Linked DNA regions of Xenopus tropicalis. The protein of the gene in region 2 purifies or fractionates together with the protein of the main gene of each other region. This does not show direct contact. Links are inferred from orthologs where the notes say so. Each region holds a gene or a part of one and is shown on either strand. Other genes may lie near its edges.

Region 1 (15,966 bases), on a different chromosome or scaffold from region 2:
TAAGGGAAGAAATTACACAATCACTTAACAAGGCTGGTGTAACAATATTTTTTGCACCAGATTTCACTGAACTGTGGTGCTGCATCTTGAGTCTTTTGCTGGTTAGAACCGCTGTGTTTGAATTCTATAATATGGTATACTAATGGCACACAATGCATTTTCTCCATAAGCAGAAAAAACTCATATGGGCCATTGCTGGTGCGTTTGCAGTATCTGACATGAATGGCATCCTTCTGTAACTGCACACATACGGTGGATTTCAGCCAAAAAACACAAGCACTTTCTGATCAAATTTTTGGCTTATTATACAATGAAAGGCGGATGCCGTTCGTGGCACTTACTGCATGAATGGGCCAGACATTGGCTGAACTGGCTTGTTCTCCACTGGAGGGCAAAATGCATTATTGTGCCATTAGCCTAAGGGGTATGGAACACAAGGTGTTGATTGTTGCTACAAACTTCCTGGTGTATTGCAAGAAAATAAGACTGATAAAAAAAAATTCTGCTTTAAGTAAACCCCTTTATTTCTAACATTTAAAACCATTAGCTCATAGAAAATGATTTTTCTTTACAGAATGGTTGTACCTGTACTGTGTAAAATAGGCACATATTAGACTGTAGGGATACGGAGGCTTAGATAATGTCAATACCAGCATATGCTTTATATGGAATAGATTTACAGACTCATTTTATACTAAGAGCCCAATATGCCTACTGGGCATGACTCTGCTTTCTGCCTAAGATTCTATCATTGGTTAAGTGCTGGTGACATTGCCGCCTTATCACTGTCCGAAGGAGCTGTGCATAACATCACAGAACCATCATTTGCCCGCAAGTCATGGGCGGGTAGCCCAATAAGTGAGGTAAAGCGAGAGAAGTGGTGAATTTAACAGCATGTTAATAAAATAGTCTCTAACACTCTGGCAAGGAAAGGTACTTTGTGGTAATCAGACACATAGATACACTATTCATTTTATATACAAGAGCACTCAGTGCTAAGCATGCTCTGATCCAAGGACAACTAAAAAATAACGAGGTAAACATATTTATCCTATACGCCCATATAGTATCTGTAAAAATTCTCTGTGGTGAAGCAATAGTTTGAATAGTTTGCCTAAGGCATCAGGAATTGACAAGCAAGAGAGTCAGTTTTTACAGATGCTGTTCTAGGGGTACGATATGTAACAGTCCAGTAATGGTTAGGTGTTCATTTTACCTTAAGGCATTGTTTACATTTACATTTTTGGTTGCATTGGATTGCATCTTCAACTATTTCATGCCTCTTGGCACAAACAACTGTATCCTGGAGGCTTTTGGCCAACAGTGTCAGGAGGTAGGAGTTATATCATGGATTTTTGAAACCGTTATGAATCCACAATGCCCAGAACGGAAGGGTCCTTTTGAGATTGGGATCTTAGGGGTCCATGTCCCCACAGGCATCTAAACAGTTACATTTTGAAATTGTAGAGTGCTCCCTGTTCTAAGCAAGCATAACATGTTTTGTTAAGTATTAAAAGATTTAAAATAGATTTGCTCATATTCCTGACTTCTACAAATAAGTTCCTGAGCAATGCCTTAAATCCAGAGATTTTGAGCGCATTCTCTGAGGCCCACTTCCTTCCCATATTAAGTAATATGGATAAATCTGCTATGATTAAATTTTCATTTTGAGATTTCTAACTGGGGGCCAAGGGGAAACAAAATATAGGACTATGGGGCACCACAGTTATTTCTTAATAAACACAAGTTACTTTGATTAAGATCTAAACCTTGTCCCTGAAACATAATCATTTTGTGGGTTTAAAGATGTTTAACAGGGCTATATGTTAATAAAAATAAACCTGCTATATCTGTTCTCTGGTGCAGGACTGTCTGGCCTTTATGCATGCACTCTCAATCAGGTGTTCGCATGTCTCTGGTGTCAAGATGTCACCTCCAATGACATTGCTTTTGGCAGTGTATTTGACAAGCAGGATTAGGCTGATTTCAAAGAGCAGTTGTCTTTATTATACAATGCCACCTCAGTCTCATAAAATAGCAGCAGTGTTAGGTCCAGAGACTGAAGTATCTTTTCTACAGCATGAAACACCTTTACGTTCTCTTAAAGACATAATGCTAATAACCACAAAATAGCAAAGTGCCCTACCAAAGCCTCTGCAGTAGCAAAGCAACATATCGTTACACTGCCAATCAGGAGAGTTCTAACTAAGATAAAGTACACTTTTATATTTCTCTAAAGCCACTGTTTTTACAGCAAGTTATTAAAATATAGAAACACTGGAAAACTGACAGTGTGTTAATCTCTAGTTATTCTGGCCAACTAGTGCAGGGATAGACAGGCTGCTGAATGTCAGCTAGGGCAGACTTACAGCTTACAGTAAGTAACACAAAGCTGCCAATCCCTGCCCTAGAGGGAATGATGAAGGAATATTGGAAGTGTGTGGGGACAAATTATTAGGGAGCACTGGCTGAATCAGTATTACTACTGCAGATAACAGCAGGAGAAATATCATCTCTGCCTACTCCAGAAAGATGATGGTACCTGTTTGGCACCATGTTGAGTCTACACAAGGAATCAAACAGCACTCAGCCACAAAACAATGTTCAATCCACCATACTTTGCACAGTGGTGACTACATTACTAGTTTGTGACAATCTTCCTCTATGATACAAGGCTACTGTAGGTATTAAAAAATAAAAGGAGAACAGAACTAAAGTGTGCATAAATATTTGTGCATGCTCATAGGCACACATACAAACCAATACACACACTTCATCTCTGGAGAGGTAAGCATGGGACTGCGCCATTACATCCTTCTCAGAACCTGGGACCGAGGGGCCGAGACTGTCCTCCTCTTTCCCTCAGCCTGTTTGCCTTTAACGGCACCTGTCAGGACTGGTTCTGGTAAATTGATGCTTTGTCCTTTAGAAGATCCAGACAGAGGTGACAACTCCAACTTCCTAAAAGTAAAATAAAAGCAAGAACGCTTATGTAAACGGGAGATGCAATGTAGAAAATAAAAACAAAGATGACAGTGGAATACAAGCAAATAAGAACACACACAACAGGGAAGTGCTTAAGGTGGACAACACTAAGCAGAAGGCACATGGTATTCTTTACCTTCAGGTGGTTCAGCCATAGGCGGCGAAAGGCAGTACATATGATAACCACGGTCACAGTCGTCACAGAACAGCAACTGATCCTACGGAAACAGGGAGCTCAGAACACTTCTAGGATAAGAGGAGAAACAGGGCTTGGAGCACCTAAGAACCCCCAAATCCAAACTAACCTTTTTTACAAATGGTGCAGATTAAGCTGCCCAGAATGTACAGGTACATTTAAAGGGACAGTATCATTTTGAAAACATTTAATACAGAGATAAACAAAGTGTGTGATGTAGCTAAGGTTATGTCTCCAATCTACTACCACCCGCCTTGCTTCAAATTGTTAACCCACTGCCACTGTGTGTGTGGGACAAACCCTCTGTACAGGGAAGAAAGCACAGCTGAAAGTCAGAAATCAGAAACATAGCCTGAAACCTTAAGTCTGATTTACTATGTCCCCAAAGGCTAAGGCTTGGCCTGAAACCAATAATCTATGACATAATTCTTAAAAAAAGATGCCCCATGCAATCAACAGCATGCCTACTGTTCTTTATTGCAGAGGCAGTTTCTCAAAAATGTGCATAATTCAGTTTATTTCTGTTTTTAAACATTACTTTACAATCTCTTGATCAGGCATAAAATCCCCAATATTTTTTTCTCCAGCTCTCTGCAAACAAATGTAATATTTAATGTATTTACTGCTAAAGCTTTCTGTAGTAAAATATTTTTTGAGCAGGTATTTCCAATTTTATACTCTATCGCTTGCTGTACGTTATTGTAAAAAGAGACTGCTTTTTAATTAAATAATGTGTAAAATTAACAGTATGTTAACAGTTTGTTCATTACTGGTATGCCATTATAACTTTAACTGACCATATATGTTTTACTATAGAGTCCCAACCCCTACTTCTTGCCACTAACCTTTTTGTTTTTCTGCCATTATATGTTCAGTTATGACTTGGCTTTATTGAGTTTTGTTAATTTTTTTTTTTTTTTTTTGAAGAAGCAATAAAAAAGCTCAAAATGTCAACCCTAACAAAGAAACTCCAAAATCTGGGATCTGTAAATATTAATGATAACGTCCCTTTAAATGTGCATATGAAATAGCAACATGGCCAATTAAGCATAGCATTAATCTGACCATTAGTGGACCTGGGACATGAGTGAACCCAATTCTGTGCTGACAGGGAATAGTAAGGAATATTCCCACAACAAAGTACAGGCCATTGCAATTTTTGGCACTGGCTGCATGCCAGTTTTTGCTGAAGAGCAAGGCTTATAATGTCATCTGCAACAGGCGGATATGCAATGGAACTAACAATCCTCTAATGTAAACAAGGTAAAATGCATATATAGTACTTGGTAATTAAAGATTTAAAACAAGGCATAAGGTTATCCCAAATGCAAGTTATGCAAAATGAAAGATATAAACAGGAGCTTAATACAGGGAAGTTCATAAACAATTAGCAGCAAGTAATTACTCACGTCATTCTCAGAGGTTCCGCAGATATTACAACATTTGCACTCTATGCACTGCCAGCGATAAGTCTTAACTGCCGCCATCATTACGGGTGTGAACTGCAAACAGGAAGGGTGCCCTGTGTCCACAACATAGTATGTAAGTGAATATTTTGCATACATATGTATCCAATATCTGCGTTCATCCAAAAACTAAAAAATACCATATTTCTGCTGACCTCTGCAACATGTGCATAGCAACCGGCTGTAAATCTCAGCAAGCTAATCTGATATTTCTGACCTGAGGATCAATAACTCAAATCATAGGGGAACTTTAGAAGGCAAGCTGCCAAATGTTGAAGGGAGTTAATTTGCTGTACAATGTTGCTGTATACATTTGTTCTATGGATGTACAAAAAAAAAAAAAAAAAAAAAAAAAGCAAAACAAATGATGGTGCCCCAATCCTGTCCCCCCGCACAGCGCTTAATCTTTAGTGTCGGAGAAGGTAAAGGTGGTGCCACATCACTAGTGCAGAAAAGTGCTATTGCACTCTCTGCACTAGAAGAAAAATAAAAAATTGTAAATTTGGCTTTTTGCTACCACTGTTAACTGGCCGGCAAAGTGGTTTAAAAGTTCATCCCCAACATTCATTTTGAGGTCCACAACCCACTTAGCTTATAGCAAGGTTTCAAATGAACCCGTTTTTCAGTTTTAAGAATATCTAGGGCTGCAAGTAAGTCTTCACTCCTCACTTAACCCTTCAATGGGGATTTCAGGAGTATCTAAAGTGCAAAAAAAAGCTCTCACCCTAATTGGCTTGCTACTCAGAAATTGCCCAACTTCCCCGATCCCCCATGCCCCTCTAAGTGGATGAGGCCCGCAGTTAGCCAAGAACTGCTCTAAATTATTAGCAGAATGCACATTTATATAGCTTCTAAACATATATATGCATCACAATATCCCATTTTAGAATATTTAAATTGAGAATTCCTGAAAAACATTATAGTTCGGAATTCCTATGAGTGTTAGGACAGCCCATTTGGGCCTTCAACTTTTAAATGCAAAAGCTTTCCAGTTAAAAATAAAATCAGATGCATCATGTAGTATTAAGTCTTCATCAAATACTAGAGTCTTCTTTTAACATACCAGAGCGGCCGCAGTCTGAGCAGGACACAAGCTCCTCAGCCTGGTTTGTTTTCTTGTTAATCTTAGAGTCTCCAAGGCAGAAGTCACAATAATTGTTTGGCAGTGCAAGACCATCTGGGCCCTTTTTGGCTGGGAAAAGATAAAAGCATCAAATATGTTGAAAAAGGAGAACAAGAAGGAACAAACTTAAAAAAACTATTTTGAATAACCTAAGTAATGCAATCCTAAGCAATTTTTGATATATACTTTTAATGATATGAAATGTATTTGTAATTGCTATTGAATTATTTGTAATTAATGAATTTGTAATCGCTTTTGAAAGCAACACCTAAAACAATGGTGCCCTAATCTACGCTACCATGGGCGACTAATCTCCCCAAAATGCTTTCCCACTAACAGTAAAGTGAATTGCCGGTTGGAAAGCATACATGGTGCTTCGTTTTCTGAAGTTGCCCAAACATTTCCTCTGCATTCTGTGTAGATGCCTAAACTTACATTTTTGTTCCTCTGGTCTCTGCATGATAGGAGTGGGAGGCTGAGAATCCTCCTTATCTTCTGCCCCGGCACCTTCTTCATCCACAAGGTGTGAGTGGGCATAATGATAGCTCAAACCAGGCCTGTTTTTATAGCGTTTTCCACAGACTGGGGGGAAAAAGCAGGACAGCAGAAAATGAAGAGTAGAAAGAAGTAATAAAGCATTAGTGCAATGATAAACATTAAAAAGAGTCAGGTGAAAAATCACTACCCCACCAAAACAGGAGGATGTATAACAAAGCAAAGCCACAAGGGAAACTGGGTGGCAGGAAAGGATAGTTTGCAGGTGTTTTACATTGGGGACAGATGTTACTGTTACAGTAAAAAAAGGTCATGTTTTCACAAAGAACTTAGAATGTATTTAGTAATTCAGCAATAATTTTGCAATATCAACCACTTTTTTGTGCCATAAGCTAAAAGACACCTACATAACTCAATATGCTTTATAAGGTGAAAGTAGAAAACATCATGTACCACACAGGAGTACCAACACAATACTGCCAGATGTAAAAAAAAAAATAAAGTTATTCTTTTATTGGAGGTACAGGTCCAACAGGCAGATCAAAGATCAAAAATGATTTTCAGTTTTTGAGATGATATTTTAAAGATGCCAGCTAGGATGGCACTGGAATGTCTGTGTGGTTGGTATTCAAAATCTAAAAGTGCACCTCCAAGTAAACCTCCCTGGACTTCAGTCTTCATGCTACAGCTTTTGGTTTAGGTATTTTAAATTCCTGTGGCTGAATATTTAGAAGCAGTTTGCCTCCAGGCCAGACTTTTACCAGCATAACTATAAAAACCTTAAACTTCTGCTTTGGGGTAGCCTGCTTTTAAAGTGAGAAAAAAAGCAAACAATGTTATTGAATTACGAAGCAGATAAATACCTCTGCACTTCTGATCTGGCAACAGAAACATGTGTTACACAAGGAGTAAGGAAGAGCACACAGACAGACAGAGACTAATCAGTCAGGCATGTTACATTGCCCCAGAACTTTGAGCCTGCTTGTTGCACAACATCCTGACCTGGGCACATACCTTACCAATTTAAGGTAAAAGGTTGTCCCAGATCCGGAGTAAGACCCCGATTTACATATATGGATGAAACAGTACCCTGAAATATATGTTTGTGTGACCCTATGGGTCCATTTCTTGATAGGTTTGTTTCTGCTACCTATTTTAATGATGCCTTAAGTCCCTTTAGAACAGAAATTATACGGAATTCTTAAGGTGGCCATATACTAATATTTGCTGGTAATGACCACTGAGCCTGTGGGCCAAAGGACGGATATTGTATTGTATCCATAAAAAGTGCATCCACCTTTCTACCATCTCAAATGACAGAAATCAAAAACAGTAGGAGCCGTGGCCAGTTGGGGGTGGGTGGGGGTCCTGAGATTAAATCCAGCAAAACCCATATATCTCTAGTTATGCCACTGGCTATGGCTTTACCTTCCCTTTGACAAACCAACCTATAAAAACTGATAAAGGATATCAGCCAGAAGTATTTGACAAACATATTTGAACTGAAGATAGGATGAAAAGCTTATCAGTATGTTTATGGCCAGCTTTAGAGGAGCATCTTCATGGAACATAACCTCCATTCCCAACACCCTTAAAGGAGAACTAAACCCTAAAGATGAATATGGCTATTTTATACTTTTTTTTTTTTTTTACTAAACTGACTGTACTAGCTTCAAGTTTTAGTATCTCTACAGTAGTATATAGTAGTATAGTAGTATATAGGTCTTTACAGTTGCCACAGGAGCTTCCCATCTTGGATTCTGTTAGAACTGTCCTGGACAGTGCACACGATCAGTGTTTTCTTGGCAGCTACTGAAAAGCTAAGCTTAGGGGTTGTCGCAAATGATCAAACTGAAAATGAGGCTGGCCTGTCAAACTGATGCTACAGGTCTAATTATAAAATTCTGATGCAAACTGCACTGGTCCCAGAGCTGCCATATAATGAGAATCTGAATTACTAATCAGCATTATACGGTTACATTTATATTCTATATTATTCTAAATTATCTGCCTGATGAGAAGCCAATGTGCCAAGAGAGAGAAAAAAAACAATACAGCTGTGTGATGGCAGATGAGCACAGGCTTACAGAACCCACTGTGGGAAATGGCATGGGTAAAAGGAAACATGCTAAGCTGCAGTGCAAGGGGGTGGGGCAGTGAGCAAGATGCTAATTTAGCAGTATAAGCGAGCACGTAGAACTACCTCTTTCGGAGAATTTCGAAGTTTGCTTTAGTTTGTAACTGTCTGAAATAAGGAAAGACACACAGAGAAAGAGAAAAGAGAGGGGTAAGTAGACTACCCAGACAAGAGCAGAGAGAGCAAGTAAAGCAAAAGGTGTGTGGCTACAGTGGGATGACCCAACACATTTATTCAGCTTCTTAAGACATTACACTAATGTAAACAGTTTAAGGATGACCAACCTGTAAAATGGCAGAGACCTGTCAGACGAGGACTGCATTAACAGAGCAAGATGGTACTTCCCTGACAGGTCTCCATAGGGTGCAGTATGATCCAATCCTTGCATACCACATGTGTGGCCAAGCAGAGATTCACTTTTTGCAACCTTAATCAAAAACCACTTATAATATTGTAATTTCTGTATGATGTATATGCTAATAGAAGGGTTTAGAAGGGTATCTTTTTAATGTGAAATATTTGTGTTACTGTTCCTTTAAATAGACAGTATAGTCCCCTTTGTTTTATTTAGGAAATATTTATGGCTTTGGCTATTATTTGCAATAAAGAGGTACAATGTGAAATAGAAAATTCTACTTCCTGTTCACAAGAGCACAAATAAAACAAATTGGCAGACCACAAAGAAACCTTCTGTATAATGAGCTGCTCCTTATTACAAAGGCAGCTGGGGGGAAGTTATATTTTGGACAACAATAGTTTTTGCCTGTTGCTTTAATAGAAAAATATGTTCAGCGCAAGCCTGTGTCATTAAACCTGTGATCTGCAACCAGTGGCCTCAAAGCAGGTGCTTATTTTTGAATTTGTGGTTTAGAGGCAAGTTTTGGCTGGGTGCTTGCCAAAGAGAGCCTCCTGTTGACTGTCAGTCCATATAGGGAATACCAATTAACCAATAACAGTCCTTCTTCGGCACCCAAGAAATTTTTTTATGTTTGTGTTGCTCTCCAACTCTTTTTACATTTGAATGTAGCTCATAGGCAAAAAAGGTTGGGGACCCCTGCATTAAACTAATGATAAAACAGAGGTTATACTGCCTCTTTGGGGCAACAGAAATCAAGGTGTTTTGTCACCACTGCTAAATCACCTTTCCAATATATATCACCAGCTGCTTGTCAGTTCAATAGGATTGTGTGAAAATGCTCCCTTCGACATTTTTGTGCTGTTATGAAAGTGGGCTGCCAAGCAGATGGCAATATACCCTTCAATAGAAGGGTATTTTTAAGGTGTTTTGGGGCCTGCAAACGAGGTGATTTTGTAAAATGCCTTGTCTGCCATTACCCTAAAGCTGGGTTGGCCAACGTTATGGTCTCCTGCTTTTATTCTTTCCAACTGCAACTACTGGTCGTCTCATTGGCTCATCACAGTGCAACAGTTAAAGAAAATATAAATTAATTTAAATATATAATTATTTAAAGAATGGTTCTTAAGCAGGGCCAGGAATATACTCACCATCCACCGAATTTAACAGCACAAAACCTAAAACATACATTACACAAAGGCTAGAACATTACATGCGTAAATGTTTGGGCACCCTTTGCAACTTTGTATGTTAATCATTTAGCAATGCCTCACAGGGCACAAAACTAAAATCTTTCTACACATTTTAATGGTTAATTTTTAGTAGTCCTGTCTGATGTAACTAGCAGCAATAAAGAGAAAGCTACATTAGGCAGAAAGATTGATGTTTGGTGCTAATTTTAGATGGGAAATGTCAAAGGGATGTTTGTTGCTAATTTTATTGGGAAAATGTCAATGGTGGAAGTTAAAAAAGCGAGCAACTAAAAATAAGGGACACTGTCTGCAGCTAAACCTGTGTTAAAAGATGGTCATAGGTTATGGGATCCAACCAAAGACTACAAAACAAACTGCTATTAAGATTTGAAAACCATGTTCCAAGGCAAACAAATGAGTGATGAGATAATTGTGGTGAGTAAAGGAGAAGAGACAATAAGTGGATTCTGTATTAAAGGATGCGGAGATGCTACTACATGTACAAAGGTAACATTCCAAGCTTGCAAAAATCTTAGTCTTGACAAGACTAGGTGTCCGCTTTATTTAAATGACTTTAAACAATAACACCAGAGGAGGAGGTAGAAACAAACATTTACAGAACTGCACTGCATAGCCATCTAAAGAAATACTAGTAAACACATAACTATGGTTTGGTGCTAGAGGTACGTTCAGAAGAGCTAAAAAACTAAAAGTTATATAACTTTATCTCTAGCACCAAACCATAGCTGCTGCAAATTATTTAGCAAAGCACAACATAAACTGGCTGTTAATTAAAAAGTAAGCCTTTCAGTAAGACAATAAAGGCGATAGATATGGTTATAAAGAAAAGGTAATGGGCTAGAAAAATTTAACTTACTGTCACAAGCGTATGGTTTATCCCTTTCATCCAGGGCAGCTGCATCCAACTTTTTTCTTGCACCACCTATACCTTTGCCCTGTTTTAAAACAAAAACAGTTTGTCAATGAGACATTACAATAATTTCAGATAAAGAGATATTTGCATGTTTTTTTAAGACAACAAACTAAGAAAATGCTCCTGTTCATTAGTCCTATATTAATTGCTAGAATGTTACTAAATGTTAGTAGCACGTCAGAGTTGCAATGTGCCTACCCAGTCTCCCCCTAAGTTCTGCCACAGTTAGTTCCCACCATTATTCGGCTGCCACCTCCTGCAATGTCATTTCTGGATTTGCCTGTGACAGGCTAACTTTGTTAGGGGCAAGAGGTGCTTGGGGAAAAAGCATATTAAAATAGTTCTAAATACAGTCTGAACTTTAAAAGAAGCAATTAATTATCACTTGAGCTCATAGATCTTTAAGTTAATCATACACACGTTTAATATCTTGAGACTATTATTATCCTAGATATACAGGTCCTTTTCAAAAAATTAGCATATTGTGATAAAGTTCATTATTTTCTGTAATGTACTGATAAACATTAGACTTTCATATATTTTAGATTCATTACACACAACTGAAGTAGTTCAAGCCTTTTCTTGTTTTAATATTGATGATTGTGGCATACAGCTCATGAAAACCCAAAATTCCTATCTCAAAAAATTAGCATATTTCATCCGCCCAATAAAAGAAAAGTGTTTTTAATACAAAAAAAGTCAACCTTCAAATAATTATGTTCAGTTATGCATTCAATACTTGGTCGGGAATCCTTTTGCAGAAATGACTGCTTCAATGTGGCGTGGCATGGAGGCAATCAGCCTGTGGCACTGCTCAGGTGTTATGGAGGCCCAGGATGCTTCAATAGCGGCCTTAAGCTCATCCAGAGTGTTGGCTCTTGTGTCTCTCAACTTTCTCTTCACAATATCCCACAGATTCTCTATGGGGTTCAGGTCAGGAGAGTTGGCAGGCCAATTGAGCACAGTAATACCATGGTCAGTAAACCATTTACCAGTGGTTTTGGCACTGTGAGCAGGTGCCAGGTCATGCTGAAAAATGAAATCTTCATCTCCATAAAGCTTTTCAGCAGATGGAAGCATGAAGTGCTCCAAAATCTCCTGATAGCTAGCTGCATTGACCCTGCCCTTGATAAAACACAGTGGACCAACACCAGCAGCTGACATGGCACCCCAGACCATCACTGACTGTGGGTACTTGACACTGGACTTCAGGCATTTTGGCATTTCCCTCTCCCCAGTCTTCCTCCAGACTCTGGCACCTTGATTTCCGAATGACATACTTTGGACCACTGAGCAACAGTCCAGTGCTGCTTCTCTGTAGCCCAGGTCAGGCGCTTCTGCCGCTGTTTCTGGTTCAAAAGTGGCTTGACCTGGGGAATGCAGCACCTGTAGCCCATTTCCTGCACGCGCCTGTACATGGTGGCTCTGGATGTTTCTACTCCAGACTCAGTCCACTGCTTCCCCCAAGGTCAGGAATCGGTCCTTCTCCACAATCTTCCTCAGGGCCCAGTCACCTCTTCTCGTTGTGCAGCGTTTTCTGCCACACTTTTTCCTTCCCACTGAGGTGCCTTGATACAGCACTCTGGGAACAGCCTATTTGTTCAGAAATTTCTTTTTGTGTCTTACCCTCTTGCTTGAGGGTGTCAATGATGGCCTTCTGGACAGCAGTCAGGTCGGCAGTCTTACCCATGATTGCGGTTTTGAGTAATGAACCAGGCTGGGAGTTTTTAAAAGCCTCAGGAATCTTTTGCAGGTTTTTAGAGTTAATTTGTTGATTCAGATGATTAGGTTAATAGCTCGTTTAGAGAACCTTTTCATGATATGCTAATTTTTTGAGATAGGAATTTTGGGTTTTCATGAGCTGTATGCCACAATCATCAATATTAAAACAAGAAAAGGCTTGAACTACTTCAGTTGTGTGTAATGAATCTAAAATATATGAAAGTCTAATGTTTATCAGTACATTACAGAAAATAATGAACTTTATCACAATATGCTAATTTTTTGAAAAGGACCTGTATATAGCACCAAAATGTTCTGCAGCACTTTAAAGAGTGTAGCTTACAAACCCTGTCACATTCAGCCACACACACAGACTGGTCAGTTTTATCAGGATCTAATAATTCTGCCTTTAGTGCCCTGGCTGGAATCAAATCTAGGACCCCAGCACTGCAAGGCAGCAATGCCATCTACTTTACAACAGTGACATTATGGTCAGCCTTGACCAACTGCACACTGCAAAAATGTATAGCAGTTCTGTCTTAGATTGCATCATATAACAAAGTTTAAACACCAGTTTGGTGTATCTTTACAGCACACTAAAAAGCAAAGCTGAATTGTGTATTTATAGACATATGTAGATCATCTAGTAATCTGCCGATTGGCTAATGATCTGAAGAATTATGTCCAAGTGCCAACAGAATAAAGAGACTGGATTTTCCAATGCAGTTGGTGGAGGAATGTTTAACCAAATCTGCTCAATGGTCTTAATGTATATATGATGCCACTGCTTGGTGTGTGGAGTCTTATTAACTGGATATTATTTATCTGAGGCTGTTCATCAGCAAAATTGTATTTGTTAACATGCACTGGAGCTTTCATACTATTTTATATGTAAGTAGAATATATCTACAGCCTAAAAAAGGGTACCTCCAGTAGCCAAAGGGTCATAAAATAGTAAATCTGTTGTATAAATCTTGACGTTTATTCTTTAACAATGTCACTTTAGCAAGCTAAAGTACCCAAAAGAGTATAATTAATTGTTCAGTATAACGGCAAAAATAAATAAAAATGCTCAAAATAAAATCTTTCAGCCTTAAAATAGTTACAATGGTTAAAGCAGCAGCAATGTTTTTTGTAAACAAAAAAAGTAATGTTTTGGGTGTTTTTACATAAGTTATATTTTGGACAACAATAGTCTTGACAAATATAAACCACTATACAAGCGCCCACACAATGTAATTTGCCATTTTTAATTTTATGTGAATAGTCAAAGACAGTCACAGGGTAAAACAGGGGAGGGTGTGCATATTTTTTATTCATTGCTGGAGTGTTAATATGCCTAACTTCAAAGATGATCAGTGATAACTGGGTAAAAATTTGAATGTTTTACCCCGTTTGAGGGCACAAGTGATTATACCAAGTAAAGCAGAGATTTTAATTGTCAAATCAAGCGCTGTAAGCAAATAAAGGTGAATAAAAGACCCAAGTTATGCATGTATGATCACCTCTATAACGCAACCATCAGCTCCCCCTCTAAACTCAGGGACCCTGTGGTGTGACATTACTTTAACATCAGGCTTTGCTTAGATTAAATAATGCTAAAAATAAAATTGAGCCAAATCCTGAATTTGGTAAGTGCTAATTGACATCCCTTATTTCTATAGGCCCAAAACAGAAAGGACATTGAGAAAGTTTTCTTTATAACCTTTGGCTGGATACAGAAGCTCTGCTACTTAATTGCCATTTAATACATGATCATCCTGCCTTCATAGCAAGAAGAAAACTAGTCTCCAATGACTGGGTCTGAAAAAAACACATTATTATTATATTATTCTATTTCACCTTGGCTTTGCCTTTTCCACGTCTTTTTGGCGTGTCCTCTTCATAATCCTCATCATCCAAGTCATCTAAGAAATCATCAGGCTCCAAGATACGCTAGGGGAATAAAAGGATACAGTTAATGTAAAGAAAGGCAAGTCACAGATTGTGGTTAATTATCCTACTTCTTCTAACCTGAAAAACACTGCAAAAAATACCATATCCTGTATACATTTAAATGGAAGCAGCTTGCCATGTCTAAGCATTTTGACCTATGTCACCGGCATTTTGACCACTGCAGTGCCTTAGCATCTGCTGGAGAACTGCAAGGGTCGATATCCAAAAATCAGCCATCACCACTTTTTCCATAGCGACACATGTTAAACATTCCACCTATAGCAGACAGAGATGGTTACAGAAGACCATGCTCAGAAATGCTGAAGTTAGATTTATCCTGGTTGTTAAATTTTAAGCATTTTGACCACCAGAGTGCATTGGTGGTCAAAATACCCCATGTGACATAGGTGTTACAAGGATAATATAGTAAAGATTAAGCATTACACCCTTTGTGCAAAAACTTCTAAACTAGGCACCGTGATTAATAAAGCTACCAACAGCTACTAAGCATGCATCAGTGACTAAATGCCCAAGCGGCTTAGAATCTAAAAGCCTATGATATTAGAAATGGCAACCATTTGTCAAGGTTCATGATACAGTTCTGTCAAACAAATACTTTTCCAGTATGATTTTAGTCATCTATCACTTTACTTGGCCTAGTTATGTCACAAGCAAGCAACTAAAATAAATTACCAATAATCTAATATCACAGGAAAATGTCACACAGTATATATTTAAAAGAGAAAATTATTATTACAACCCTTTCTGTAAGTCTAAAACTTCAGGTGATTATTTACGGAATACTCCTTCCTGCTCTACTTCGTAGCAAGTTGTATTGTGACCTTTTGTGGGGAGGTTTTCACATAGGATATGTTTACAGCAGTGCAATGAGCATTAGTAAAGGATCATTTAGTAAGTAAAAATCAGCAAACAAGAAAGACTAGTTTATGCAAGCAGAATGAAAATTATTCATATGCTGTTTTCCTCCCAAACAGGCAACTCACAGAAACTGATATAGCGAACATTAGACTAATGCTGCTGTCTATTCCCCCAGGCTTCATGCTGCCTCGCTGTCTTTACCGTGATTATCCCTTTTGCTACGTAGCGCTGCCGCTCGCCGTAGGCCTGTACCTTCCGTGCGCTTCTGGAAAGAGGAGGGAACTCCGTAAGGCTGTCATCATCCCGGGGGTCTGGCATAATTCTCTTCTCAATGGGGTCTGAACGCAGAAGAGCTTCAAGGCTACTGCCATCTGGTGGTATTAAGCCCTCTTTCTTTAACATCTGTTCGGGGTCTGAAATGCACAATAACCTTAAGTTTTGATAAAGATATATTCTTTTTTCCATTGGATTCCTCTAAATTACCAAAAATCAATGGACATTGTTTATCATGCACATTCAACATTTTTTAATAGTGCATCCATTGTC
Region 2 (16,131 bases):
ACATCTGAAGAGTACATGCATGCAGCTTGCCAGGAAGAAGTTATCAAACAAGTGAAAAAAAAAGAACAATCTTACAGAAATACGTAGGAATCAAAGTCTTACTATTTTAGCCCTTATAAAAATTGGGTATCTGCTGATAAACGTGTGCTGCTTGTTCCCGAAAATCCAGTATGGGAACACCTGCCCAGAACTGCATCACCCTGCTGCCCATTAATGCAGTCCCGCTCTGGCTGCAGCAGGCATCTTCCCGTTGCCTAGCAACTGTAGTAGCTGCCTGCCTGGCGCCTGCGCTTCTCATCTAAGCTTGGGAGCACAGCAAGGATTATATTCAATACTGTGTAAATGGACATTATCTTGTGCAGCCATGTAATGCTCTGATAGCCCCAGTATTATGCACAAATCATAGGTTCCCACAAAATGACAGCGTCTAAAGGGAGAGAGAGAGCTAGAAGGCCCGCCATTCTCTGTGTGTTAAACAAAGAGCTTGTCACAAATTGATATTTTATTGAAAATATCTGCTGAATATTGCTATCACTTGTTTTTGCAACCTGTTCTTATTTATTTTAAAAGGTTTTATTAATGGATGTCTGTTCTCTTACTATTATGTGTATTATATTTCTCCCTTTTTCCTTTTTTTCATATAAAATCATTTTTATTGTATATCCTTTGTATGCGTTGTTCTAATGCTTAAGCATATTATTACTGAATGAAAGGTATCCATTTTAGGTTAAAATCCACCATTAGCTTGAATGTCAGGACTTCAGGCTACTGTTGCTTCTGCATATTTCATATTATCTGCTTTGCTTTATAATCTAATATATCGTAGAAAAAGGTCAGGTGCTTTATAAGTCATTCATATTTTTTACATTCATTTTTTTGATGTGTTACTTCATAACATACACAGGGTTTTTGTTTTTGGGGGATTTTCTTTGTCTTATTTCTTTTGGCACATATGCAAATTTCCAGTAGGTGGCGCAGTTTGCATATACAATTGTTTGAAGCCTTTGTATTTTTCATTAGTGACTTAAGAGGAATCAGTAAGGTTTATAGGGAAGGTATAAGTAAATTTCTTGGGGAAAAAACACAATCATGTATTCTTGAAATACAAACAGAATGGCTTTTTAGCAGGGTTTGATAGGTTTTATGAAACTATTAAGCACAAATTCTTTAGCTGTCTTTGTAATTCAGTTTGTTTACAGTGCCCAAACTGATTTAAAATTTAAAACATGTGTTTGTTTTTTTGATAATATTTGTGAACCAGTAACATGGTAAACCCGCCCATAGAAAAGATACTTGAAAAACTAACATTGTAAAAAAAAAAATGTGAATTTTCTTGAGATAAATGTGTTGTCTATGGATTTTTTTTTTTACATAACATATGATTTCTCAATACACATATATTTTTATTTTTTTTATCAGCAACGGAAGGCAACTTAGTGAAGTTTTCATACAGCTTCCTTCTAGGAAAGAACTGCCAGAGTATTATGAACTGATCCGCAAACCCGTTGACTTCAAAAAAATAAAGGTATGTCTTACTGTAGTACAGTGCTGTCCAACTGGCGGCCCGCAGGCCGCATGCGGCTCGCGACCCCCCTCTGTGTGGCCCCCCACCTGTCTGGCTGCTTTGATGGCTTACCTTTGTGTAAGCTTTAAATGGAATCAGAATTGAGATTAACTGGCCCCCTGCATGGTTCACACCTCACATTCAGGCTGTAATCCCTCTGTATTGTTTAAAAATGTAATCCCCTGTGTTGTTCACACCTTTTAATCCCTGCATTGTTCACCCCCTGCAGTGTTCACACCTCAGACTCAGGCTGTAATCACCCCCATTGTCTACCTGTTCACACCTCTGTGGAGTAGTGCCAGCATTGTGTGTATTGTGTGTACTACCTGCCCTATACTGCCTGTGTGTATGGAACATGCAGGCAGGCAGAGTATGGCACACACAGACAGAATAGGGCAGGCAGAGTATGGCACACACAGCAGCATAGGGCAGGAGGGGTACGGCAGGAAGAGTATTGCTCACACAGGTGGAGTAGGGCAGGCAGAGTATGGCACACACAGGTGGAGTAGAGCAGGCAGCGTATGACACACAGGCAGCATAGGGCAGGCAGAATATGACACACACAGGTAGCATAGGGCAGGCAGAGTATGGTACACACAGGTAGCATAGGGCAGGCAGAGTATGGCACACACAGGCAGGGTAGGGCATGCAGAGTGGTCAAACTGGCTTCCATTAGCGGCCCTCCACTATGTATGCTAGAGAAATTCCGGCCCTCGGCACCGCAGAAGTTGGACAGCACTGCTGTAGTACATTTAATTCTTAAATAAATCCCATAAAGTTATTCTGACTTATAAAACATTGTGGCTTGGCCAGTCAATCAAGAATAAGTAATGGTCTTCCAAAGCTGCACCAGGCACAGCCCACAAAGTTGATGTGATCAGGACAAAAGACTAAAGCAGTCATTGTGAGCCTGGGGGGCATAGGGTTATCAGATACCTCCAAGCATTGAAAGGACATATCCAGGGATCTTGGCAAGAGTAACTGTGGTAAGGTAAATAGACCTTCCAGTTACTGGATAAAACGTGATCAATTAGGCCACTGTCCAAAAGCTGAATAAGACAGCATGCTGATGTAGTGGGCTGATAGGCTTTGATATATTACAGAGAAGGTCTGTGCATAACAAAGGCACCACCAGTCCATCCCATAACAAGGTGACATAAAAAGCATAAATCACCACTTGGAGCTTCTTGTATATTGTAGATATGTATTTGTATAAACCACATACTGGTATATGAACCATAATGTGGAAACCCATAATCCAGAGTTCAAAAGACCATCTTCCATAGACTCCATGTTAAACAAATAAGTTTATTTTTTAGAAATTATTTCCTTTTTTCTTGTAATAATAAAACAGAACCTTTTACTTGATCCTAACTTTTATATAATTAATCCTTAATGAAGGTAAAACAATCCTGTTGGGTTTATTTAAGGTTTAAATGATTTTTAGTAGACATATAGTATGATTTCCCAATTACGGAAAAGATCCCTTATCAGGAGGGTAAATGCTTTATTAGAGTTTATTTACATTTCTAATTCACTACATTTTTTTCTCTTTCTTTTGTTTCTTAACAGGAGAGAATTCGTAATCACAAATACAGAAGTATTAGTGATCTAGAGAAAGATATCATGTTACTGTGTCATAATGCACAGACATTCAATTTGGAAGGATCCCAGGTTAGTTCTATGTTTTCATTAGTGCTATTACCACCGAATGCCAGATCCCTTTAACCATGACATTTCTATTCCCTTGTAAATCAGCTCTTTGTCATATTTTGTAATAGGACATGTATCCCAAGCTTTTGCTCTAGAAAGTATACAGTATGCAGGCACAAACTTGTATATCATCAGTTTCTTTGAATAGTCTCTACAGTGTCTGTTAATATATGTTGAATATTTCAGCTCAGTTTAGCCTTTGGTGCATACGTAAATTAATCTTTTATTGCAATAAATTGTCAGACTGTAGCAGTGGTCCTCACTCTTTTTACCCCATCCTAACATGGGTTTTTAATCTCACAGCCAACATAGATTAAATAGAAAACTGAAAACATAAATTTAACAATCCACAGCAGGCAAGTAGTTGAAGAGCAAGTATAACTTTCTATAACAACACATTTGCACAAGGAAGAGTAGCTGTTCTGTATGATTAAAAGGGAATGGTTTGCCAGTCCTAGAAGATACTTTTTTTTAAAAGTATATAGAAGTTGTGTTAATAGCAATGCCACTTACAAAATATACCACCTACAAAATTATAGACAATCCAATTGTGCAGTTATTTCTGATCCTGTTGAGAACATCCGCGACATTGCAGCATTCTGTTGTGGTCTGACCATGGCAGCTGGAGAGCACATTGCATTGTGAATTGCACTTCTTGTTTCTATGTGTCGGGAAATACATTTGATTTCATTTTTACATTTACATACAATCTTTTATTACTATCTTTTTCTATGAAAATTGCTTCCTACTGAAACCATATTCAGATTGGCAGTTGCTTTGAAATGTATTAAAATCTCATTTTTGTGCAGCAAAAAATGTGCCGGTGGAATTTCACAGTTCATAGGGTGAAGTAGGTTAAGTTACTCTGCCACTGGCATTTTTTGGGAGATTTCAGTTTGGTCTGTATCTACAAAATATGTTTTTGCTTTGTTTATTAGATTTATGAGGATTCCATTGTTCTACAATCAGTCTTCAGGAGTGCAAGACAAAAAATTGTGAAAGAAGATGAGAGTGAGGAAGAAAGCAATGATGAGGAAGATGATGATGAAGACGATGAATCAGAATCTGAATGTAAGAGTTTAAAATGTTACCATTGAATCCAAAAATACAACTTTTAAACTACAGAGTTGCTGTTACATAGAGAGTCTGCATAAATCTATTTTCACAGTGCAAAATAAATTGTCATTGACTAGCAACAACAAAAATTGTCAGTGCAACCGTTAACTCTTACAATGCAACAATGCTGGCTCTCTCTAATGTAATGCCATTTGTCACAATGTTTATCAGTCCATTTAGTATGACCTATAAGATGTACTGTAAGATGTAAAATCAGTCTCAGTATGGCTACTAAATTATCAAGATTTTTTGGGGGGAAATTTTGTATTCCTTCCACTCCATATGATTTGCTTAAAAAAAAAAAGTATGGTCCAATAACTGCATCAGAATATCAAAATATATTGATATATATATTTATATATCTAATGAATTAACTTAAAAGAGTACAGTCTATTAAAGCTCTGTAAACTGCCCTCATTGCACTGTATCTGCAGTACACTTGGCAGTATATTAATGCAATTTGGCTACACAGTTGGATGGCTAAATTAAACTGCTAAAAATATTGATGTGGGCCCTTAAAGGGGTTGTTCACCTTATAGTTAACTTTTAATATGATGTAGAGAGTAAAGAGTCAATTTGCAATTGATCTTCATTTTTCATTATTTGTAGTATTTAATTATTTCATTTTCAGTTCAGGAGCTTTCCACTTTGGAATTTCAGCAGCTATAGGGTCCAAATTACCTTAGAAACCGGGGAGTGGTTTGAAGGAGAGACTGGTTTATGAATAGGAGAGGGCCTGAATAGAAAAAAAAAGTTACAAAAAGTAACAATAACAATAAAACTGTAGCCTCACAGAGTAATACTTTTTGGCTGCTGGGGTCAGTGACCCTCATTTGAAAGTTGCAAAGAGATGGAAGGAGGCAGCAAATAAGTTCAGTTTTTTTTTATATGTGCAATTGCACTCTCTGCACTAGCAATGCAGCCGTGGGGACTGAAACACCTCTGCCATTGTTAGTTGATATAAAAGGTTTACATTCTGAAAATCAAATATGTACCTGTGTTGGTCAGAACCATGTGAAAGCACTAGGGAATTTCCTGAGGTTCTGTACGGAAAAGGCTTACTAACATGAATAAGAGGCAACAGCAGGTGAGTTGTGGCATTCTGTATGGCAACTTGTGCCATAAACATTGAACTCACAGTCATTATTCAGCCTAATGTACCAAGTAGATGATCATCCCAAATATCCAACATCTGTAAGCCCAGAGCCCATTTCTATATGATATATGACTTGTCAAAATCTAGAGCAAACAACAGAATAGCCAGATGGCACGGAATACAGCTTGTACAATGCCTGGAGAAAAATACGCCTCATGGATGGATTGTAAATAGTGAGAATGTATTCTGCGCTGAAAAGATACTGCAGTGCTTAAAACGTGATTAGTTAGAAATGGTAAATTTTTATTCAATAAAAAAAACATGATTTGCTAATGTTTCATTCCTCCTTCACAGCAAAGTCCGTGAAAGTCAAAATCAAGCTGAGCAAGAAGGATGACAAGACCAGAGAAAAGGGAAAAGGAAAAAAGAGGCAGAGTCGAGGCAAAGCCAAGCCTGTTGTGAGTGACTATGACAGTGAAGAAGATCAAGAAGACAATGTGAGTTTAATCAGCTTACTTTATAAATGATATGCCCTTGCCAAAGGGAAAGCAACTTTTATAGAACACATAACACCAAAGCCCAAATTAGAATGTGTACAGTATGTAGTGGTATAGAATTCTGAGTCAGAATTTTTTTTATTGGATCTCTAGATGTTCTTGCCCAACATAATCTAACCATTTTATGTTGGTAGGATTTAAGAAACAACCAATGACCACTGCTTTAAGTAAAACAACTGTGAAACCATAACCTAGCAAAACATTAGCTCGGTACATAAGTGACTTCATTTGTATTTATATCAATCATTTTGCCCTTAAGTTTGTTTATGTATAGTTGAGGGGTTTTCCATTTTGCTGCCTGGGTGCCAACAGTATAAGTTTGTTTAATCAGTGTGTGCCATTTTTATAACCCTTAATTTAGTGCCCCTGCCAAATAAATAGATCATTTGGTAAGCAGAATGCCTGCCAGATAGCATAAGATGCCAGTAGGGAAAGAGCCACAACAACTGTGTGTAAGGTATGAATTAAAATAAGGATGCTCATAATGAATTTGTAAAAATAATACAGACTTATTTTGTTATTCTTGCATTTTTTATCTAGGAACCATCAGAAGGAAGTGGAAGTGATGACGAATGATCCTTACAAGACACAAGACTTGATTTCTGGTCAGATTTCTACATTTCTAAATTCCAAACCATCCTAATGAATTTTTCTAAGAATAAACACTGGGGTTGTACTTTCATCATCTAGAAGTAGTGTTAGAATAGTGCCAACCAAACATGGTATCATCGTGTACACCAATAAAAATCTTTGTAACATATTGTGACCAAGTGGGCCTCCGACATGAAGCAAGTAACCCAGGCTTTGATGGAAAACTGTGGATCAGTTGGTTCTTGCTGTGGGCCAAGTTTCACGTGGCAACGGTTTCAGAGACAGCCACCAACCCTGCAGAGCTGAAAACAGAATATTTTGTAGCGGGTCATTCAAGACACCAACAAATATAACTGGCTATTTTATTTTTCTTCAGGCAATTTTAGCAGTTTCTACGTTGCTGTGGTTCAGTATTCGTGTTTTTTGTTTTTAATTTTTTTTTAATCATTGTGGTACATATATGCAACTTCTTATGTATGGGTTAACCCTTTGGGTGCTGGAGGGGCCTGTAAAACATTGCTCCGCATATAATGGCTCACACAGTTCACAAAGCGTTAAAACATATTCCCACCCACCACCCCATTTGTTTCCCCCTGTTTTAAAGCTTTTGATTGCAAAATTCTTCTATACATTTAAACTATATGGCTAAAGTCTTCTTTTTTTTCTTTTACTATTTTATGTTATAAAAACTACACAGTTTGTTTAAACTTGTTATCAAATGTTGCAAACTCTATATAGTGTAACAGAATGCTTATTCCTCCCCTTTCTTTAAACTGACCTTTGTTACCAATGTGGATAATCAGCTTTTTCCTAAAGTGTACTTAATCTTTGCTTTCTTTGCACAATGTCTTTGGTTGCAATTCATAAGCCTGAGGCAAATAAAATTCCAGCAATTTTGAAATCACTTGTGTGTTCTTTCCTGCAAATGCACATTACATTTACCAGGTATGTTTTAAGATTATTAACCAGTTTTACGTTTTAATGGTTCTTGAGTCCAACTGGCTGCACATGTCGTGGCAACAACCTGAAGAGACTTCTGTGATCGACAAACTCTGGCTTTCCCTTTTAAAATGGCAGAAGTCATTTGTAGAATTGTGCAAGTGCAGTTATATTGGCCGGGACTGGCAATCTGTGAGTTCTGACAAATGCCAGAGGGGCAGCTGTAAGATGCTATATCAAGTTACTATTTATTGGGCTAGTAGGGGGCTGTTTGGGCCTTTGTGTATTTGAAATGCCAGGAGTTTTTTGTTTTTCTGCATGATCACTGCTGCTGTTTCAGAGATTCACACGAACAGATGAGTAGGAGTGCAGCTATTTTGCTTATAGCGTTATATGTATGGGCCCTTACTATTGTTTTCAGTATATTGCCCAACATTTCACATGTATGTCATAGTAAGCATACCATGACATACATGACATTCAAGTGCTACTTCTTTGTTCAAGTCTCATATTAACATCATAGTAGTAGTCCTAAATAAATTACAAATCTTTATTGTTATAAGTGCACAATACATTCTTTCTCTCATCTGTTAGTGTACACATGTACTTGCCTTGGCTCATGTGTTATTTTTCTTTGGAAGAAAGCCATTAGGAAGGGAGTTACTTAATAACCAGACATACCAACACATGGCTGATACATACAAACCTATACTCAAAATAGGTTAAAAAAAAAAAGGTTGTAAACCTAAATATAAAATTGTGCATAAAAAAAAGTTAACTCTTTCCATTACTAAGTATACATTTGAAACAATAATCATAGAACCTGAATGGCACTGAATGGTTTTTCAACGTTTTTATGTATACAATTAATGAGTATCCTAGTATTGTATGCTTGGAAACTATATTCCTTCCAGATAAATAAATACATATAATAGAAGGAAGATATTAGGGACAAGTCAAATAATATATAATTATTTTTCACATTTATCTGGTAACATTTCATCAGATAGAATCATCTATCTTCAACAATTAAAGCACAGCTGTCCTTGCCCTTTGCTAACCAGTAGAATATTAATAACACTAATATCAATGCAGCACTGCATACATGCACATATAGACCACAAGGGTAAAATCCTGGGTTAAATTATTTATTGAACATTTTACAAAATTACGTAAGTATGGTATTTTCATCCAAGCACTTTTCCCAATTCTTACAAATATCAGCTGTTTCACAGTAAGTAATGAATGAATCAATCTGGTTGTGATCAGGTTATTTTTAACTATTCATATAACTGAACAAATTCCACAGTAAAAAAGAAACCATGCCAAGGAGAGAAGTAGGAGTAAGGAGCTGCTATTACTGATAGTAAGAGGTAAATGCTTAGCCAATCTGGATCAGGCTAGCCACTAGTACTTCTGTCTGGTTTCAACAGGAAACGAGGAACAAATAACAGGCTAGCATCAGTTTTATATAGCTTTCCTTTTCTGTATATTATGCCTATCTTGTACTGCTGGTATCCTATTATCTTTTTATTTATATTAGCTTGGAGCTATTACTGAGTACTTAATATTAGTTTCAGCAGGAGAAACGCGCTGAACACATTCCATTAAAATAGTACCACCATGCTACCCAGTCCAAGTCTATTTAATCCAAGTTAACATGCCATTAAAATGTAGTTTCCAACAAGCCGATTTTACCTGGGGTGGTACATTCTGTTAGCAGTCACTGCTGACCAGTAACCACTGGCCTAGTAGTAGTAGTAAATGGAATACTGCAGCAATAGGCTGGGAATACCTGCTTTGATTTTGTTTTGTGCATCTGACCCCCAGTTACCCACATTAGACTGCAGGTGCATTCTGGTCACTATTTGAAATCTAACCCCAGTGTTTATGACATGCCTGGCTAAAAAGAACCAATCCTCTTGTATCAGGCCCAGACTGGCAATCTGTGGATTCTGTCAAATACCAGAGGGGCTGCATTAAATTGATGGTGACTATTTATTAGGCTGGTGGAAGGCTGGGCCAATGTGTACTTGAAATGCCAGGACCTATTTTGAATCCCAGTTGGGACCTGGTTTGTATAAAGATGTCCTTGGGCTATTACACAGTATGACAAATGTTAGTACGTCCTGTCTATAAACGAGTTTTGTTTAATATCTTCTGTTCCTGGTATTTGCTATACATCTACATAGTAACATAGTAAGTTAGGTTGAAAAAAGACGTACGTCCATCTCTCTTATCAATGACTCATTCTCTGCGAGTGATGTCAAAAATCTGCTCCTGGTAACTTCAAGAGCCAAAATTCGGATTTTAAAATTGGAATTTTGGATATTTTAGTGCAAATGCGCCCCAGCCCCCATCGATGCAAGCATTCACTTACTACCACGTTACAGTTTAGCAGCTTGACGGGATTTGATGCACACATGCAGCAAAATATACACTGGGTGGCAGTGTCAGACCTGTGCCAACTTACTTGTGTTGTATTCACAAGGTTATATATCCAGAAAAACAGCCTTATTGGTGCACAAGCTAGACACTATTAAAGCATAACTAATGGAACAGACTATTATACAGAAAATGGCAGACATATTGAACTCCACTGTATAACTATCAAAGCAGAGGTGTGTGCACTTGCTACATTGCCCAATCCCCAAATGTAAGCTCACCCAAATGCACTCATTTCTATAGGAAAATAGCAGCCTTCTATTATTATTTTGTTGAAACACCAACTAAAATGATTGCTTCCCTGTTGGGTGCTTGCAGAGCAATCTGGCTTAATCTTTGCCTGTGGACTCCCATGGAGAGAAGGTATCTCCTGGGCGGGGGGGCAGGCTTTACATCAGGAGACTTTTATAGCTAATGTGTGTTTTAATACGGTCAGCGTTATTAGATCCCCCCAACTCCAGTCTGCATTGTTTTTTATTAAACATGTTTCATTAAAAAAATAGAGATGCAAGAGAAAGGTGTCACCTTAATATTAATTCACACAGCATGCATTACCTCCTAACTGAGCTTTGCATTCTGTAACCTATTACCTAAAACAGGAACAAGCTGTGAGTAAAGCATTGTGAAGAGATACTATACATTTTATAGGCCAGACTATGGGCAGACAGTGTTCTCCTGTTATCTGCCAGTTTGCTGTAGTGAAACACCATTGCTCTACAGTCCTATGACCTGTACATCTCTCCAGCCGATGCTTGCTTTGCACATGGTGAAACCCCACATTTAGTATGAATAGTTCCTGTGCTGACATTGCTTTTAGACACAGGAACTCAGCGGTGAGTGTTACGTCTAAACACATCATTTTACCGAAAGTCTGGATACTTTTGGACATATGGTTTTCTCATTCTGCTCCAAAGAACAAAATGAAAGACCATGGTGCTCTAACTGATGGGCGCAACACTAATTGCAAAAATGCACACAAACTTGCATAGTAATGCACAAGGCACCCAAGTACTCTATATCTACCATTAACCATGTGGTATTTTCAGTTCTCCCGCTGTGCCCCTGTACTGCCTTATTTTGCAACTGAGAATTTGCACATAATTTATGCGCTTATAAGTAAACAGCCATGGATCACGTACCTAGAGGTCTTTTTGTATTTTCACCACTATCTTTTCTGTGTGTACATTCCGGTCCAAGAGTTTGAGTGGCAGAGAACTGAGCTGCTCAGCAAGGCAAATGGTTACAATACACAACCAGCACAACAAGTAAAGTGCAAGCAGGGCTTAGCCCTTGCGTGTTTATTCAAAATGCAACGTTTCGGGGGCGTACCCCTTCGTCAGGCATTTGGGGTACGCCCCCGAAACGTTGCATTTTGAATAAACACGCAAGGGCTAAGCCCTGCTTGCACTTTACTTGTTGTGCTGGCTGAAATATTTTGACCGGACTGTGTGGAGAGTGCCGACTCTCTAGGCTCTCCACCAAGTAGTAATTTTCTGGAGGAGGTAAGGGTGTGCTGGCGTAAATATTTTTCCCATTACAATACATAACCAAACAAGTCCCACAAAGGGATCACTGCTTAACAATGGTGAAGGGTGAAGACACATGGAGCTACTAGTAGCAGCTACTTGTCGTGGCTACTAAAATAGGCAATGTTGATCATTTACTGATAATTGTCTCTGTGTGTTTTAGCAGAGGCAATTCTCAGTATTCTCTATGGCTGGGTATTTTCTGGCGTTTAGTAACCTTGAAAAAGTAGCTGCTACTAGTAGCCCAGTGTGTCTTCACCCTGACACACTGGCCTTGGGGATGCTTCACTATAAATCTGAAGCCCAATATAGTGACATAAATGTAGTTAGCAATGGATATACAGTCTGTATATGGAATGGTAGCTCCATGACTACTGGCCCTGCATGGGTCCATGATAACTTCCATAGATGTCAGAGACAAGAGGCTTTGAAACCACCTTTCCTCCAAAATGGTTCATTTTAAAAACTGTTAAGTTAAGCACTTTCTACATATTAACTTGCAGACTGAGAAATCAGGGACATTTCTAATCAATCCTGTTACTGCAATGACTGCAAACGCATGACATTTATATGAAATGCAATAAATTCCCCAGAGAAGATTTACTGCCAACAAATGAGAATGAGCAATAGAAATAGAATACATCTTTAGGGCACATTTATACCATTCAATCACAATTCCAAATGAATGTTTTTAAATGAATTAGATACAAGGTAATCTGGTATATTATTTACTTGTATTGGTTGAATTTTTATTTGTAATATATATGTTCAGTGCATACCCCCATTTATTGAACACTGCTGCAGAATATGTTGGCACTTTATAAATACTTTATCCGTTTGTGCAGTTGCGTCTTGTATGTATGTATATCTTTATTTATAAAGCGCTACTTATGTACGCAGCGCTGTGCTGTGATGTCAAAACAAAGACACCTGTTGCCTAGACACATTGGGTCTCATTTATCAACACTGGGCAAATTTCCCCATGGGCAGTAACCCACTGCAACCAATCAAACTGTTACAATTTTTGTTTTACCTGCAACTGCCTGAAAAAAACAATCACTGATTGGTTGGTTGTTTTGGGTCACTGCCCATGGGCAAATTTGCCTAGTATTGATAAATGAGCCTAACTGAGTGCTGGGTATCCTAAGACATGCCATTATACCCATTTAGTCTTCCAGATTCAGCTGACTGTGTTACACAGTGTGTTCCCCTCCTGCCTTTCTTCCACCTTTTGATAAATATGCCCTCAAAAACCCCATACAAGTGAATAAAGTACTATGAAATTGCCTACTGACTGTGCTGACCTCTAATAAATATGCCCCTTAATATAAAAGAAGCAGAACACTAGTCGGCATTTCAGAGATTTTATCCTGAAACATAAATCTAGGTTGCAAGGATTGTAAAACACCGTGAAATATGCAGGCCTGAATACACAGAGCCTGACAATACAAATGGCTCAGCAAATGTACAAAGACACTTGTGTTAGCCTCAAATGTGACCATCCAAGCATATCAAATATAGCCACTAACATGAACTGACCAGCAGCAATTTGGTCTACCCACCATGAATCAGCTACTCATATACTGCAGCCAGCAGTACAGCAAGAAGTACACATAACGTATTGTTACCAACCCCTTGACCCCTTGACTTGACTGAAATAAAAGGATGGGAATCAAATGGTGGGCGATGAAATTCTCTTTCTGAGGAGAAGTTTGGGTTAAGAAGTAAATTTAATCAAAACATTGGGAAATGCAAGGTTCAGCAATGAGGAGAGCGGAGGTGACATCTGCAGCACTGCAACAAAAACTCTGTATATGTATCCTGGTCAGTATATTACAATTATCTTCTTTATGAATGGTGGCCTTTGAGCTTTCTCAATGTATGCTATAGAACTGAGTGATTCTGCAATATGCACAATCCTATTCCTCACACCATTGCTGTAAATTATAAATATATAGCAAAAATCCTGCTATAAATACCTAATGTTGAGATTCTTTTCTAATTTATGACATTGAGTAGGTTTTTTTTTGTTTTTGGGGTTCTTGGGTGGTGTGCAACAGTTTCTTAAATAAATCAGACTATCTTTATATGTTTATGGATGTTAGCATTACAGCATGTTGGCCTGCGGCATGCACAATTAAAGTTAGCATTGCTAAAATGGGGCAAAAATATGGTGACTGTATGCTTGGCCTGGAACTAGGCTCATCCTCCTTGCGCCCTAGGCAGCTGCCTCTTCTGCCTACCCCTAGTTCCAGCCCTGCGCCCTAGGCCCAGGCCTTTGTGGCCACAAATCCAGGCCTGATTCAGCATTTCCCCTTTTTGACAGTAAGGGAAAAGGAACTACGCTTTTGGCTCCTAAAGTGACCGTAAGTAAGGCTGAGATGATTTTGGTTTGTTTCTCTTCCCTTTCTAGATTATATACATTACTGCCATCCCCTCAAGAAGACTTTACGCCAAGACTATGAATAGCAAGACAGTGTAAACCTTTTTTGGCACAATGCCTTAGAATAGTATTAAACTCCCTGACCAGGCACAAACCTGTGGAACGGGGAACCTGGGATCTATGCATTTTTAAGCTATTTCACAATATTTTAACCGAGACAATTGTCTATGTCTATGACAATTGTCTATGGTAGGGTATTTTCTGGCATTTTGCTGCCATGACAAAACTTGGGTGGGAAATAGTGAGATTTGCAGCAGCAATAAACTTTATGTAAAAATTCAATGCACCAGGCATCTAATGTAATTAGAGCACTCTATCTCACTCAATTGCAAATAAAATACCCTTGCCAATATCTTCCCCTCAATGAATATTGGGTGCTTACCAGGGCCTGCACAGGTTCACAGACAGCTCTGACACTCTCCTCAGTGGAACCGGTCACCTATTGGGCATGTAGAACTTTGACAGCAAACAGGATGGGATCTCTCTGTTGTAGTTGTAGCTTTAGACCTCACCTCCTGGCTGAGCTCAGCCAGGGCCGCCATCAGGGGGGCACAGGGGTACAATGGTCCCGGGCCTGGACGATTTTAACTTTAAAAGGGGCCCGGCCATGCTAAAGTTTTCTTAGTAGCTCGTGCCTCCTTTAATCAGTTCCGGGCCCTGTCATTGGTGGTCAGCGGGTAATCCCATTGGCTACCAATGCATTATGGGGGCACAGCTGGCTACCAATGTACTAGGGGGGGGGCCCTGCTGGCTACCAATGTACTAGGGGGGGCACTGCTGGCTACCAATGTACTAGGGGGGGCACTGCTGGCTACCAATGTACTAGGGAGGGCACTGCTGGCTACCAATGCATTAGGGGGGCCCTGCTGGCTACATATGCATTAGGGGGGCCCTGCTGGCTACCAATGTACTAGTGGGGGGCACTGCTGGCTACCAATGTACTAGGGGGGGCCCTGCTGGCTACCAATGAACTAGGGGGGGCCCTGCTGGCTACCAATGTACTGGGGGGGCACTGCTGGCTACCAATGTACTAGGGGGGGCCCTGCTGGCTACCAATGTACTAGGGGGGGCACAGCTGGCTACCAATGTATTAGGGGGGCACTGCTGGCTACCAATGCATTAGGGGGGCCCTGCTGGCTACCAATGTACTAGGGGGGGCACAGCTGGCTACCAATGTACTAGGGGGCACAGCTGGCTACCAATGTACTAGGGGGCACTGCTGGCTATTAATGCATTGGGGGGCCCGCTGGTTACCAATGTCTCATGTCTGTGAGTCCTTTGTACTGGTGGGAGGGGGGCCCAGAAAATTTTGTTGTGAGGGGCCCCGTGATTTCTGATGGCGGCCCTGAGCTCAGCATCTGCTCAGACATCTGCCAGCTCTTCTGGATAGTCTTTTCCTCTCTCCTAGCTGGGAGTTGCAACAGGGGGATCCTTTAAAACCTTGGCAGCCAAAAGCAGGCCCCTCCTGTGTCCTTCTTTACCCTGGGGCTTCCAGCATTGCTTTTTTCCAGCCAATGGTATCTCTTCCCTGCCTTTAACCAGGTTGGCTGCTGTCACAGGCAAAAAAGCTAAGGCACAGGAACCGGTTGGCCTAAACATAATGCAGGTAGAACTGGAGGAAGAGTTTTTGATAACCTACAATAGGAAAAATCTTTCAGGTTCCTAATTTTCTTACAACCCTTAGGCAGTAAAACACTTATACGTGTAGATACATGCAGGCTATTACTTTTAGTGCAATTAAATCAGTGTGATGTGAGTTTTATCTGTTATATATGAAATACCTTAACACACAGTTTTAGGACTTATATGGTTAAACCCCATAGTCTTAAATTTCAAAATTTGTCCAGCACCCACTTAGCACAAAATACCGGTAAGTTTTATCAAAGCATTGCTATATCAGTAATTAAGCCATAGTTTTAAGAATATGGAGTACCACAACCCCTGAACTAGGACAGTTCCCCTGAATTTCCCCCAACTTAGGCCTTCTCCCCAAATATCACCCTAAGTAGCCACCCACACTTTAGGAACCACTGCCCTAAGGGACTAACTGAAATTTTATGTATATGAACTTCCACAGGGTAAACATTCAAGTGAAAAAATCCATTTAGCTATACATTACATATCACACAAAAAATCTATTT

Evidence for each region.
Region 1: the proteins of smarca2 (region 2) and dpf2 purify together in Homo sapiens (affinity purification with mass spectrometry; 6 studies listed by BioGRID and IntAct, counting the BioPlex papers as one, with this or other methods). This does not show direct contact. The link is inferred for Xenopus tropicalis from reciprocal best matches to the Homo sapiens genes SMARCA2 and DPF2.

What each region holds. Positions count from the first base shown.
Region 1 is NC_030680.2:32,323,092-32,339,057, forward strand, and holds part of dpf2 (zinc finger protein ubi-d4), read right to left. Parts: intron 15,834-15,966; coding exon 15,673-15,833; coding exon of another isoform or gene 15,622-15,672; intron 14,542-15,621; coding exon 14,449-14,541; intron 10,907-14,448; coding exon 10,828-10,906; intron 8,511-10,827; coding exon of another isoform or gene 8,469-8,510; intron 6,353-8,468; coding exon 6,206-6,352; intron 5,840-6,205; coding exon 5,711-5,839; intron 4,704-5,710; coding exon 4,591-4,703; intron 3,232-4,590; exon of another isoform or gene 3,204-3,231; coding exon 3,122-3,203; intron 2,962-3,121; coding exon 2,891-2,961; 3' UTR 1-2,890. UniProt on the Homo sapiens protein: Plays an active role in transcriptional regulation by binding modified histones H3 and H4. Is a negative regulator of myeloid differentiation of hematopoietic progenitor cells. Might also have a role in the development and maturation of lymphoid cells.
Region 2 is NC_030677.2:128,179,883-128,196,013, reverse strand, and holds the end of smarca2 (probable global transcription activator SNF2L2), read left to right. Parts: intron 1-1,419; coding exon 1,420-1,525; intron 1,526-3,136; coding exon 3,137-3,238; intron 3,239-4,215; coding exon 4,216-4,348; intron 4,349-5,843; coding exon 5,844-5,986; intron 5,987-6,586; coding exon 6,587-6,622; 3' UTR 6,623-7,541; downstream 7,542-16,131. UniProt on the Homo sapiens protein: ATPase involved in transcriptional activation and repression of select genes by chromatin remodeling (alteration of DNA-nucleosome topology).